2 linked regions of the Caenorhabditis elegans genome follow. The protein of the gene in region 1 interacts with the protein of each later gene in a pairwise test. Each region holds a gene or a part of one and is shown on either strand. Other genes may lie near its edges.

Region 1 (6,727 bases):
TCACACGCCGTTCCAGTGATTTTGTAAAGGAATTCTTGTTCACCAGAGACAAACAAACAGTGATGACAACCGCATATTACACGTACGCAAAGTGTGAACTGCAGGCAGTTATGTCGGGTAGCATTGGCTTAGTGGTTTACAATCAGGCTAAAAGCGACTTATTGGCAACGGTTAGATAGAGTTCTAAATTTGCAGTTTTTAAAGCAGAACTATTTTTTCAGCTGGAGTCTGCAGATCACGATGATTTTGTGTCGAGCATGAAAAATACATTTATTTACGGGAAATTCATAAAACGTTCGCCTTCGGAAAGCTACGTCCCCTCGGCGACCGTTTTTAAGACACTGACTTTCAGCACAATGCCGCCCCAAGTCAAATTGTAAGAACTACCAAATTTAGGTTTTTAACAATATTTTTCGTTTTAGCAAAAAATCGTCTCGACCGGTTCCACCTGGAAAAAGTCTTGGAGAAGTCGTCTCTAAAATGGCGGCAAGTCAGCCGCAGTACACTGTGCGATCTGCTCCGTACTCAAAGGGTCGAGCGGTAAGATTTTGATAAATGCATTAAGTTACTTGTCATGTCAGAAGGTACTACTACATATTGTATTATCACTATTAGACTTGCTCACCGATTGCTTCACGCTGACAGCTAATATCTCGATTTTCTTTAATTTTATCAAAACATTTTAACTGCGTAATTACGTAAAATAATTTTCAACATATTGACATTGTACTATTTTTGGTACAATTTAAGACAACCGAGATATAAGCTAGCAGGTCTAATAGGACAAGTTTCAGTAGTTACCAAGATTTAAAATACTTCCAAATTCGGATTGTCCAGCATATTTTGTGTGTTTTTTCTTTAGAATACAATAATTACTAATGGGGCTAATCAAGTAATGTCGCGAAATGTAACAAAATGTATTGAAATATACATATGTCCACATTTGTTTTATAAAAAAAAATTTAAAGGGGCGATAATACAATTTACTGTAAAAACTAATAAATAAATCAGATCATCAAAATCCCGACTTCAATTCGTAACCGCAACTACACACTTCCACCTGCAGGCCCACTTCCGCTGCGTCGCACTTTGATTACTACCAACTACACCATGTATCCAGTCAGAAACGCTGTTCAGTGATAATCTCATTTTGAAACTTACCCCCGATTTAATATAGCTACATGTCATTAATCATTTTCTTTTGTCTCACTTAAGTTTTCTGTTACTTTTTTTCTACTTTTAACTTATGCCTCAAGTCACTTCCAAATCAAAACCACGACCTTTTCAAACTCTCTGTTGTTTTTTTTCTGATCCGTGTAATATTATTTATTGTTTCTTTCTTTTTTACTTTTGCAGATTCTCCTAATTGAAAACTTTCAATTGTCATTTTTTTACGGTCCGTTTTAGGAATCGTGTTCTATTTAAATAATTGCCAAAAATAAATCTTTTCAGGTCAATCAATTCGTTTCAATTCTATTACTATATCTTTTGCAAGTGTAAAAATAAAACCAAATAAAATTATTTTTGCTTCCCTGCATTGCAATATAAATAGTGGTGTTCATCGAGAAACGCGCACGCTAACCGGCCACTGGCGTGTTTTTCGTGTACTAGTCACCACAGAAAACTGCAGAGACGCAGAATAACTCCGTATGTTTTTACTGGGCATAACTGTTTCCAATTCCCTGATTTTATTGTTTTCTTTTTTAATGCTTGGTTTAAGTTTAAAATTTTTATTATTCTACTTAATCAATGTGATTATATAAATTTTCAATTTCAGATTTGAATGTCTGCAATCAGGAAGATAATCCAGCGGCAACTTTTCCAGAAAGACGATGAAAGAATTCAAGCAATAGTCAATGTCTCAAAGTTGGATGGAAAAAAGAAGAAAAACCAGACACTACTATGTTTAGCAGGTAAGAATTCTTGGAATTGTCCTGTATAAAAATCGATAACTTGCAGTCACAATCGAGCACCCCATCGCCGTCCGTTTATACTTTGTGAAAGGGGAGAAAGATGATACATTCAAAAAGAAGGACAGGTTCAATTTGAGAGAAGTCAGAGAAATCGACGGAATAAATCCGAAAAAAGTGAGTATTTGAAAATTATATGGATTCACGCAATTTATACGATATATGTAGTGAGCAAATGTGAGCGTAACGAAGAACATAACGCAAAAAATGTGAAGCTTCTCGAATAACTGAGGATTTTCAAGTTTTACGAACACTAATGTTTGATGGAGTTTATCAACCTAAAATAGCTAAAAATTCGCCATTTTGCCGCAACTTTTCAACGATCTTTATCAATTGTAAAAATTGCAATTAGCTAAAGTTAGGTGAGAAGTTGTTGAAAGAATAGTTATTGTACACTAAATTTGTCGAAAAGATGATGCAAATTGCAGGAATTATTTTGACAAAATGGCTTATCAATTAGTTAAATTCGCATTTACTTCAAGTTTTTTTGGGTTTAAAAAAAATTGAGAATTTTATTCAACTGACAAACATTAAAAAAATTCAGGCATCACCAGAGTTCCACATCACTATCGGTGATCATCAATATGTGATTTTGGCTGGTTCCGCTGAGGAAAAGGACGAGTTCATTCGAGAACTCTACAAGGTATCCAACTATAATACTTTCAACTTTTTTACTGAAAATTTCGTATTTTAGTTGTCATGCCAATACCTTCCAGTCCAGATGCCAGATTTCTGCAATTTCTCTCTACCGCAACTTGAATCAGAAACCTCCATTATACCCATTGAGCTTCCTGAGCATGATATGGCGATGCAAAGTGATTATCAGCCAATATCCAACAAGGAGGACGCAGACTTTCGAAAGTTGATTGCGCGAGCTAATTTGACTATTGGTGAAGCACATATTTTTGCCGAAATGCTGACGGAGCAATTGCAATCTCTCGATGGAGCCAACATCAACTCTATGATGGACAGTGAGAATTCCGTAAACCAGTTGCTTTCGAGTATTGATGCAGCATTGACCGGTGTTGAGTCGGTCGAAAAAGAGCTTGATCGTTGTGATGACATTTTGGCGGTACTACATTGTAAAGGAATTTATTGAAATTTTAATCAACTATTTTCAGTTTGTGAGGAACAGTATCGAATTGATCGAAGAGAAAGATAGTTTATCGGTGGTTGAAAGAAAGAACAAGCAACGTCTCAACGAGGAAATCGTTTCATTTGTCAATTCGTTGCAGGCTGTTACTGATTCCCACATTGAGACTCTGAAACAAGCTAACTTCAGTAACCCAGAAAGGTAGAGTGAACAACTTAGAGTTTTCAAGTAATATTATGATACTTCAGTGTTCAAAGATGCACGGACGCTGCACGCGCTGTTGCACAATTCTGGCACGGGAGGATTTCTAAGCCAATGCTTCAAATGAAAGCCTATCAGGACAGAAATGATGAGCTTACCGCAGTGGATGTCTTTGTCGATAGGCTCATGTCTCACCTCTCTGCACTGTTCTCGAATTTGGTAAGTTTCAATGAACGTGTGCTTGCTTGCTCGAGGACCCCCTAAATTGTAGAAGTATTAGAGAATTCCGGAGGTCACGCTCTCGCTAAAGGACCCTCTGAATTTTTTGAAAATTTCAACCAAAATTCTCGAATTTCAGATATTTTACAGCGCATGCGAAGCTTTTTTTACATCACATACCATAATTTCACAATAGATTCACGTTAAAATGTGGAGTTTTTTCAATACATCTATTATAAATTTTAGAAGAATCCTGTAGCAAGCGCGCGCACTGTATAAAATCATTTTCAACGCGTGTTTTTTTTTCAGAACGACTTATCTTTGGATCATGAGTGGCATGAACTGTGTATTCCAAAACAGTCTCAACGCTTTCGCGCCCTTTCTCCACTCTCTGATCTTATCAACTGGCTGAAAACGAACCGTCCAAAGGCTTGCAATTTAGTCTTGCAAAAGTATATCGACAGCACGAATCTACTTTACAAACGTCTATTTGACAATTTCTTTGAGACACTGATCAACAAAGTTCCAAAAGCTAACAGTTCTGAAAAGAAGTCAAGTATGTTTGCTAATATTTGCAGCAAAAAATAATCATCTGATTTCAGAAGCAAATGAATCTGCAAACATTTCACTTCGTTCTGACAACCAGAGTTTCCTGAGCACCTCCAGTGAAATTGATACTGAAGTCTTACCGCAACTCATCGAAACGGTGCTGGCAGAACTGAGCGCTGTGATTGACGCAGAGCAAAAGTTCGTTGTCCGCTTCTTCCACATCAACTCGGAGCTGTTGGCTCAGTTCGATACGACTTCAACTGGAAGCGGTGATAGCTCAAGTCTCGGAGGACGTAGTATGGAGAAACATATGAACGAGCAAGTGAGACACGTTATGGGCAACTTGTTTGACTCGCTCAATATTCATCTTGATAGTTTCTGTCGGGCGGTTTGTAGGCACAATCCTAGGTGAGAAAAGGTACACGTACATATTATTTTAAATTCCTACACATTTTAGCAATGTTCTCCTTTTGTTTGTAATCATGTCGAAGAAAGTGCTTCTACCACAAGACCCAAGCTCCTATTTTTCGATCACATTTGGAAGTTTAGTTGTTCTGATAAAACGCCAGTTTGATGCATTTATTGTGAGTTCCATTTATATGTACTGTAATTGCAATAATCTTCTCTTCCAGCAAATGGAATGTTCCCAGTACTCGGAAGTTCGCATTGCTAAAAAGACTAGAATCGGAATTCTCCCATCAATTTTTCGCTTTGCAAACTTTGTGAGACGTGCTGAAATTATCTTTGAAAATGCCGAGAGAAGAACTGACTTGGAGAAGGCATATTTCAATCTTTGCCGGGCGGTTTGTGACGGGATACAAAAAGCTGCCGCCAATCAATACAGCAAGTCTCCGTCGTCTGTAGTCAAGTTTGAAAATTACCACGAGCTCTATTGTAAGTGTTCTAGGAAACAATAAAGTGTGATGGTGATAAATGTTTCAGTGACTTTGTCGGAGCTAAAAATCTCATGTTTGGATCAACAACGAAAAGATGCGAAAGCGCTCAAGGAAGAACATATTGATGCGTACGTAAAAGAGTTTATGGGTCGTCCACTCAAAGAGATTCAGGTGATATATAAATATGGAAATTTATGTTTCAATACTGTGCTGCCAATGCTTGAAAAAAAACTTGACTATTATGCTTTAAACTAGTTTTTTCTTTCTAATTTTGGCTTGTCATTCTACAACATTTGTAAAAAAAGGCACTCTACCATAGTTTAAAGTTGGAGTACCAAAATTTGAGGCTTTGCTATTTTAGACCCAACAATTCAGCGCATATACGCCCAATAAAAGACCAACAAATTTATTAAAGAGTGATCAATAAATAAAAATTAAGTTCCAGACGCTGCGACACCGAGAAGTTGTAAAAATTGTGATTTTAGCTGCAAAACCTTTTTTCCGACTTTGAACCTCCATAACTTTTTTTGAGGAATTTTCAAAACATCTCATTCGAATTTCGGTACTCCACCTTTAAACAAAAATCTCCCAAAACTATCGATATGTATTCCAAAAATTTCAGACGTTCTTCGACAATGTCAACAACTTTATCGAAACGCGTGGAATTCGTCCTGATGAAATCTCGTATCAACAACAATTCAGTCGCATTGAGCTTAAAAAGGTTGAATTTCTAGTTAATCATCAAAATCGCCATTTCATAAATTTTCCAGGTAATTTCACAACATCCGGGAAAAGAAGTGAAAAAAGGACTCGAGCAACTGTACAAGAAAATTGAGAAGAACCTGGTTGCCAATTCATCACTTTTGCAAGTTGTATGGAGAGATATGCAAGAGCAATTTGTCAAGCAAATTGCGGAATACAACAAACTGATTCTCACTTGTTACCCAGGCTCGAAGATTGAGCTCGAAGTTTCCACTGACACTGTACTTCAGTTCTTCTCAGAAATTGCTCAACAACACTAATATTACGACGAATAATTTTATTGAATTTTGTTGTTTTAATTCATTTAAAATTTAGTTTTAATTTATCAGAACTCTAATACTTACTGAACCATGCTTTGTAATATATTTATTTATCTATTCTGTAATAGGTGAACTTCGTTACATTACTGATGTCTGTAATATAAATTTACGGGTGTTCCCCATTCGAAAATAGTAGTAATGCTTGCTTTTTTGAAAAATAAATGTCTTGCTTGGTGACTTTTATTTCACGTATTTTCAAATGCTCACAAAAATTTCACGGAACTGACTTCTTGGTTACACATTTGTAGAAATTTTGACTGAATGTTTGCATTGAACTGGTCAACTTAAGAATCTGACATGCAAATGGTGTGTTTTCTGAAGAACACACTTTGGCAACTTTTAATAAAAAAGGGGTGTAACACGATTTAAATCTAATAAAAACAACTTCTATAATGTTATTCCGTTTATATCTCACTTTATGTTTTACATTTTACTCTTATATACATTTTTTGACTCATTTATACAGGGTGGTCCATAATTATGGACCACCCTGTACTTATATCTTATTTAAAACTATTTCATGTAAGAATTGTTTTAACAGCGCATTTTTTTTCATCACTCGATTTAAAGGTAAAATTGATAGGCCGCAATCTATTTTGGAAAACTTCAGAACAAAATTTAACATTTTAAGAGGTAACTGTGAAGGTTTATAAGAGAATTATAAACCGATCTAACCACTAAACATGGTAACGTAGAAAAAGTAAAATTAGGGGAGGG
Region 2 (6,347 bases), on another chromosome or scaffold:
GATCAGATTTCGGAGCAGTCTCTGCATTGGCGGCTAGTGTAGATCCTTCGGTGCTTAACGAGGTCAACAGGGCTTTTTCTGCAGTCATCATGGTCGATGTACACGAAATCACTTCCATCTCTTTTCCTTTTGACTGCAGAACCATATTTGTTCCGAGATCTTGCTCCCAGGATGCCGTGTATAGTGAGTTGTTGATCTGAAATTCATAAAATTTTACTTTTGAGTTTGTATATTTCCATTTTACCTGTAAAACTGGTGCATCCGTTTCAGCGTACCGCAATTTGATCAAATCTCTCTCGACGGCATCTCTAACAAGATCCGCGTCGAGAATTCCATTGACAGTGACCACCATCGTTACATCTTCCCATTCATCATCATCACCTTCGTCTTCTTCTACTTCTTCCTCTATTTCTTCTGGTTGAACTTCCATCTCTTCCGGCTCATCTACCCTTTCGGGTATTTCTTGTTCAAATCGCATTGGCTTCAGGCATGCTTCTTCTGGTTCTCGTTTGATGGGCGACATTTTGAATTCTACAATATATTTCTGGAAAGAAAAAATTGGAAAAAAACACATAACAATTCAGAATAGAAATATGAAGAATGGCTGAGAACCGTGGAGACTGAACAAATGGAAATTGTAGGAATAAACGAATACACTTTTATTCCACCCAAATAAATAAATATTATCACAATCATAAATACATAAACCCATGCGTTGTTAAATTCTCCGAGTGTCCTTTAGGTTAGAAAGCATTTTGAAGAAGCTTCACAATACGAGGATAATGATCGACATAGTGTTGTTGACCACGTGAGATGACAGAACTATTGTACGAAGACACAAGTCCGTTGAGGAATGCGAGAACTTCCAGCTCAGTGTGCTCTTCGTACCACTTTACATATTCTTCGGGCTGAAAATTGAAACATATAAATATTTCATATTTAGAGTATTCATAGTATTGTGGAAAACTACGAACCGTCCATTTTACAGATTGATTAGGAAGTGGAAGTTCTGAAGGGCTATCGGATACTAGTAGCTGGATTAAAATCGACTTTTTGACACCTTCAACTCTGAGCATCACATCAACATCGCTTCCGAAAAGATCCAAAAGTCGAGTAGTGTCACCATATTTGGAAGGCCATTCCATTGAACGAACGGCTTCGAGTAATCTGAAAAAGTAATTTTTCTGACGAAATTATTGAATAATTTAATAAAAGGTTTGAAAACGTATTTCTTTTGTTTTGATATCCTCTGAATTCGGTTAAAACTTAAACATTTTTGATAAGTTTTCAGTTAGACAAGTTAAATAAATAAATTTAAATACAAAATGGCGGCAAAGATGTAAAGCGCTGAATCATAACCGATGTAAAAACAGAAAAAGTTAACACTTTTGTGATTCAGCGCGCCGTTTTGAGTTTAAATTTAAAATGTCTAACCGACAACTTGGAAAATAAATTTAAAATAATATAAAAATTGCTAACCACAGGGAAAATCAGGTTTTTTTGTTGTTCTTTTTTTTTGCTATTTCAAAATTTTTTCTTAAATTTTTTTTTCTAGGATATCTTAATAAAATTGTTCGATTTTTCGGTTTTATTTCCACAGAAAATAGGAAAATACGATAAAACTATAGATTTATCAAAAAAAAATGGTTTTGATGATAAAAATGACTAAAGAGGTTTTTTTCTTCTAAAAAAACATTTTCGATATTTTAAAAATCATATATTTTTTTGGAAATTTTTTAGAAGACGACAAATGAGAAAAACAATAAATTTTTTGAGGTTTGAAAAATTATTTAGAAAAATTTACATGTTTTGATCAAAATTGTTTTTTTTTCTATTTCGAGTGTAATTTTTTGCAAGAAAACGTTTTTTAAAAATTTTTTTTGAAAAATTTTTAACATTTTCAGTTTAAGCACCCTATTACCTTGAAAAGTCAATGACAATGAGTTGACGTTCATCAGAAGCATGTGATCTGACTAATGTGGCATTTAGAATAAATGAGTCAATGACATATTCGGCAATTTGTGAGAGTACGTGAGAATGACAAACTGCTCGTGAAACGTGAGCCATGTGCATGTCGATATGATTAATGTAGGTGAGCAATTCTTGCATGTACGGAGCCACGGATTTTGTCATTCCGCGTGTTTCAACGTGCATTCTTGCAACAATCGCGCGAATCGAGTTTTTGACTTCTATGACGATCGCATCAAGAGTTTCTTTTTGAATCGCTGTCACACTTTTCGATTCTGCTGGCCAACGTTTTGTGATACCATCAGCGGTTTGAATGAGACGATAGTTTGTCATTTGATTTGCAGTCAATCGGTCTCCTGAAAATGTTTTTTTATTTGGTCATTTAAATGTGGAGTATGGAAAATAAATATTTGTTTTGTACACTCAAAAAAGCTCGAATATCATAATAAAAACTCAATTTTTGAAGAATGAAAATTTAGAGAAGTCTCAAAAAAAAATGTTTTGAAAGTTTTATAAATTTGGAAAAATTTTCGAATAAAAAAACAGGACTTTTTCAGAAAGTTTTATCGAATCGCCGAAAATATCGTCATCGTTTTCTCGGGTTTTCGGAATTTTTTTTTGTTTTTGATAAAAAAAATCAACAAAAAAAAGTATTAATTTCACAGCTCACCTAGGAGTAAATCATCTCTTTGTAAATGAAGATTGGCTTCCAATTTCTTTGCAATAATCTCAATGCATTTCTCAATATTATTGCTCATTTTCTGGCTCAACTCCGCGTCCCAGTCGACTTTTCGATGTTCTTCTTCCATTGCAGAATTGATAAGATCGACAAATGCATTGGCATGAGCTGTAGAGAAGTCATTTTCTTCAACGAGTTTGTGCAAACGAGCCAGTGAATGAGTCAGGAGAGAGTTCTTGAGTGGACGTAAAGAATCGTTCAAAGCGGGTGAACTATCTCCCTTTGAATTGAATACTCTACCCAATTGCTGTACAAACCGCAAAGCGTATGGAGTATCGAGTGGAACTCTGCTACGAATCAGTCGAGCCAACTTTTCAGAGAATTTCTTCTTATAGACTTCACCCAGCATAGCCGCTTGTTCGAGATGTGATTGAATTGTTGCAGCGACTACAGGGAGACTTTTATTAGCAACTTCTGGAGAGCTGTTTGATAATTCCATTAATTTCTTATCCAGATCGACAACAGAGGAGGACAGCAAAACTTCAAGTTCTGAATCCAAATAATTCAAAGTTCGAAGAGCTCTTTGAGCAGATACAACCATCGAGCTATTCAATGACGCTAAACCTCGTTTCAACTCCTCCGCTCCACTGCGTCGAACTTCATTTTCAGCCACTTTCAACTTGGTATCCACCATATTCTTCAACCATCCAATTTTTCGCAAATTTTTATTATCATTGAGTATCTCCTTAATCTCCGATGTGATCTCCGCCTTCTTCACCAAATCACTTCGTTTCTCAAGAGATTCAAAAAGTTCTTCACATCTTTGGGCATCTGAAGCCATGTTTCTTTTGAGCATCGTTGCTTCGAGTTGGCGAGTTTGTTCGCGAAGCTTCGTGGTAAGATCATCACAAACCGTGGCGAGTCGATTTGATTCTTTGGTCACTGATGTCATTCGCATTTGAACTGAATGTAGAGTATCTTCAAGTGATTGAAGAGCTGGCACTTGCTCCAGTAGTCGTGGAAGATTAGTTTCGACTCCTTTACGAAGCTGTTTGTCGAGGGTATCATGGAGTCCAGCGACTTTTCGATTCAATGATTCAGCTACGGATGAGTCACATTCTGCTACCCTGAAAATTTGTACATATACTTAGAAAAAAACTTGAAGATAATTTTTTTGATCGACGACTTCCAAAAAAGTTTTTATTACTTGAAATTTCAAGTCAATTGAAATAACAACTTTTGCAAACATTTTTGATTTGATTTTTTATTAATATAATGTAACACTACAGTTATGTTTTTTAAAAATTTCTCTACTGGCGGTACTCCATCTTTCGACAAAGTGTGCGCCTTTAAAGAATACTGTAATTTAAAACTTTCGATGCTGCGAAGTTTTTATCGATTTTTCATAGTTTTTCTTACGATTTGTTAAAGTTTATGTTGTTCTATTTTAGTTTTTAAAAAATAAATAAATGAATATACTTTTTGCAAAAAACTATGAAGAATCGACGCTACAGTACTCTTTAAAGGCGCGTACCATTTTTCATTAAACAAAAATTGTCGTGTCGAGACCCAAATCCACAAAATTTGGCGACTTACTTTTTCAAGTAATCCTTAACATCAGTTTTTCCCCAGAGGAAGTCGTCGAGCTGTTCGTCGACTCTCCCCGACATTTTAAACTGGAATTAAAAAATAAATTATTATTTAATACGAAAATTAAAAATAAAGATATTAATGAGCAGATCAGGTAAAACTGCTATTAATAGGAGAATGGTATTATTTGAACAATAAAAGTAGTGAAATATTATTCGAAGATTTCGACAAAAGAAAACAAAAACAAAACAAGATATAGTAGTTAACAAGCTAATAAAATCTAACCTAAAATAAATCAATACTGTAATATATAAAGAACTACATCTTTTCAGCGGACTTTTTAAGATTATGTTTCTCTACAGCCACATGATCCTCTAGATCTGAGATGATTCCTCTAGCGATCGTTGTTTTACTGCTTCCTTCTCTCAATGTAAACGGCATTCCTTTTCTGAGTGGCATGTCTTTCATCAAGAGTACTGTAGCAGAAGTATGTTCTCCTGGCATCAGAAGCTCATTGCTCATATCGAAACGACCAACTTGATCCCAAGTACTGCAGTACATTTTGTCTGTGAAACCAGTCCGAATTCCGATCTTCCTGCCATTTTCAGCCTCCGAGAGAAGATAAAGTTCCACTTTCACTCGATTCGTAATTGTTACTGCTCCTGGATGTCCTGCCCACATTCCTCTCTTCACTGTATCCCCTTTAACTCCTCTACACAGAACTCCACAATGATCTCCAGCACGAACTTCCTTCACACTTTTGCCAAAAACTTGGATATCCGAAGCAGTCGTTTGAAGAGTTTGCCCGTCTCCTTTGATTTCAACTTTATCGCCTTTTTTCAAGACACCTCTTTCCAGTGTACCGACGATGACTGTTCCTGAAAAACATTTTAAATTGGTTTTTTTTTAAATATTAGGGGTGGCAAAAAATGTCATTTATTGAAATTTCTTGCACTTTTTCTTGCAAAATAAATTCTTGATTGGCACACCTTATATTTCTTTTTTCAATTACCTCGCCCAGTGATAGCAGTTTTCGATGCAATTGGCATTACAAAAGTATCCTTTTCATTTCTATCCGGCTCTGGAAGTGAATCCAATGCATCAATCAATCTCTCGATACACGAAATATCTTGTCCTTCTAGAGCACTTAAAGCGGAACCTCGAATAACTGGAGTCGCATCTCCATTAAAGCCATGCAGACTCAACAATTCCCGTGCTTCCATTTCTACCAAATCCAGATCATCTTCTTCAACCAAATCCGCTTTATTGATGAAAATCGCCATATTTTTAACACCAACTTGCTTGGCTAGAATCAAATGTTCTTTGGTTTGCTCCATGACTCCGTCGGTTGCAGCAATCACAAGAACAGCCACGTCCATTTGTGAAGTTCCGCAAATCATATTTTTGATGAAATCCGAGTGACCGGGGCAATCAGTGTGGGAATATCGACGCAGAGGACTTTCATAGCCGATATGAGCGACATTGATTGTAATTCCACGTTTCTTTTCTTCTTTTCCCTTATCGATTTCGTCAAATTTAATATGCTTCGCAAAACCTGCAGAATTGAATTCATTTGTGAATAATATAAAAATTAATTAAACCTTTTTTAGCCTGAACTCTTGTGATTGCTGATGTTAGAGTTGTTTTCCCGTGATCGATGTGTCCAATAGTTCCCACATTTACATTGATTTTTGGCGTAGCAGCTGCAGTGGCAAAGAAAGCGACGGCATTTCGTGTGATTGAATTACAAAATGAAGATGTTGAGCATCGATTGAATAGTAGAGATCGTGTGAATGCCGACAAAGCAGCGGGGTTCATTTTACCTATAACACCGAGAAATTCATGTTATAATAAAATCGGTTATAACAATTTTAGTAACTTTGAAACCATAGAAACCTGGAACCTGAATTTAATTTAAAAAATTCCAAAAATTGCGTGGCAACTCATTTTGTCCTCGAGGAGTACGCGGCCGCGTGGCCTAGGAAGTAACTAGGTCACATGTTGGTTGTTTATTATTTTTATTGTTTTCCATTTTTCTCTGTCAATTCTCGAATATTTCCAATGGCAAGTGATCAAAATGCTGCCGAATCGATAGCCAAAAAACTAGCTC

Evidence for each region.
Region 2: the proteins of sec-3 (region 1) and cogc-5 interact in a two-hybrid assay, tested with the Caenorhabditis elegans proteins (one large-scale study listed by BioGRID).

The regions. Positions count from the first base shown.
Region 1 is NC_003284.9:3,094,894-3,101,620, reverse strand, and holds sec-3 (Exocyst complex component 1), read left to right. Parts: upstream 1-1,768; 5' UTR 1,769-1,783; coding exon 1,784-1,913; intron 1,914-1,959; coding exon 1,960-2,087; intron 2,088-2,514; coding exon 2,515-2,613; intron 2,614-2,664; coding exon 2,665-3,042; intron 3,043-3,091; coding exon 3,092-3,264; intron 3,265-3,311; coding exon 3,312-3,483; intron 3,484-3,557; exon of another isoform or gene 3,558-3,693; intron 3,694-3,792; coding exon 3,793-4,039; intron 4,040-4,085; coding exon 4,086-4,440; intron 4,441-4,489; coding exon 4,490-4,616; intron 4,617-4,664; coding exon 4,665-4,926; intron 4,927-4,974; coding exon 4,975-5,099; intron 5,100-5,550; coding exon 5,551-5,649; intron 5,650-5,698; coding exon 5,699-5,950; 3' UTR 5,951-6,193; downstream 6,194-6,727. Other genes in the region: ztf-13 (C2H2-type domain-containing protein), read left to right, coding at 1-170, 222-376, 423-540, 1,012-1,140.
Region 2 is NC_003279.8:4,247,469-4,253,815, reverse strand, and holds cogc-5 (Conserved oligomeric Golgi complex subunit 5), read right to left. Parts: upstream 4,324-6,347; 5' UTR 4,318-4,323; coding exon 4,244-4,317; intron 3,775-4,243; coding exon 2,639-3,774; intron 2,325-2,638; coding exon 1,922-2,324; intron 1,168-1,921; coding exon 975-1,167; intron 909-974; coding exon 744-908; 3' UTR 646-743; downstream 1-645. Other genes in the region: C43E11.12 (Transcription factor TFIIIC triple barrel domain-containing protein), read right to left, coding at 1-196, 245-574; tufm-2 (protein-synthesizing GTPase), read right to left, coding at 4,556-5,115, 5,250-5,792, 5,839-6,055; exoc-7 (Exocyst complex component 7), read left to right, coding at 6,236-6,347.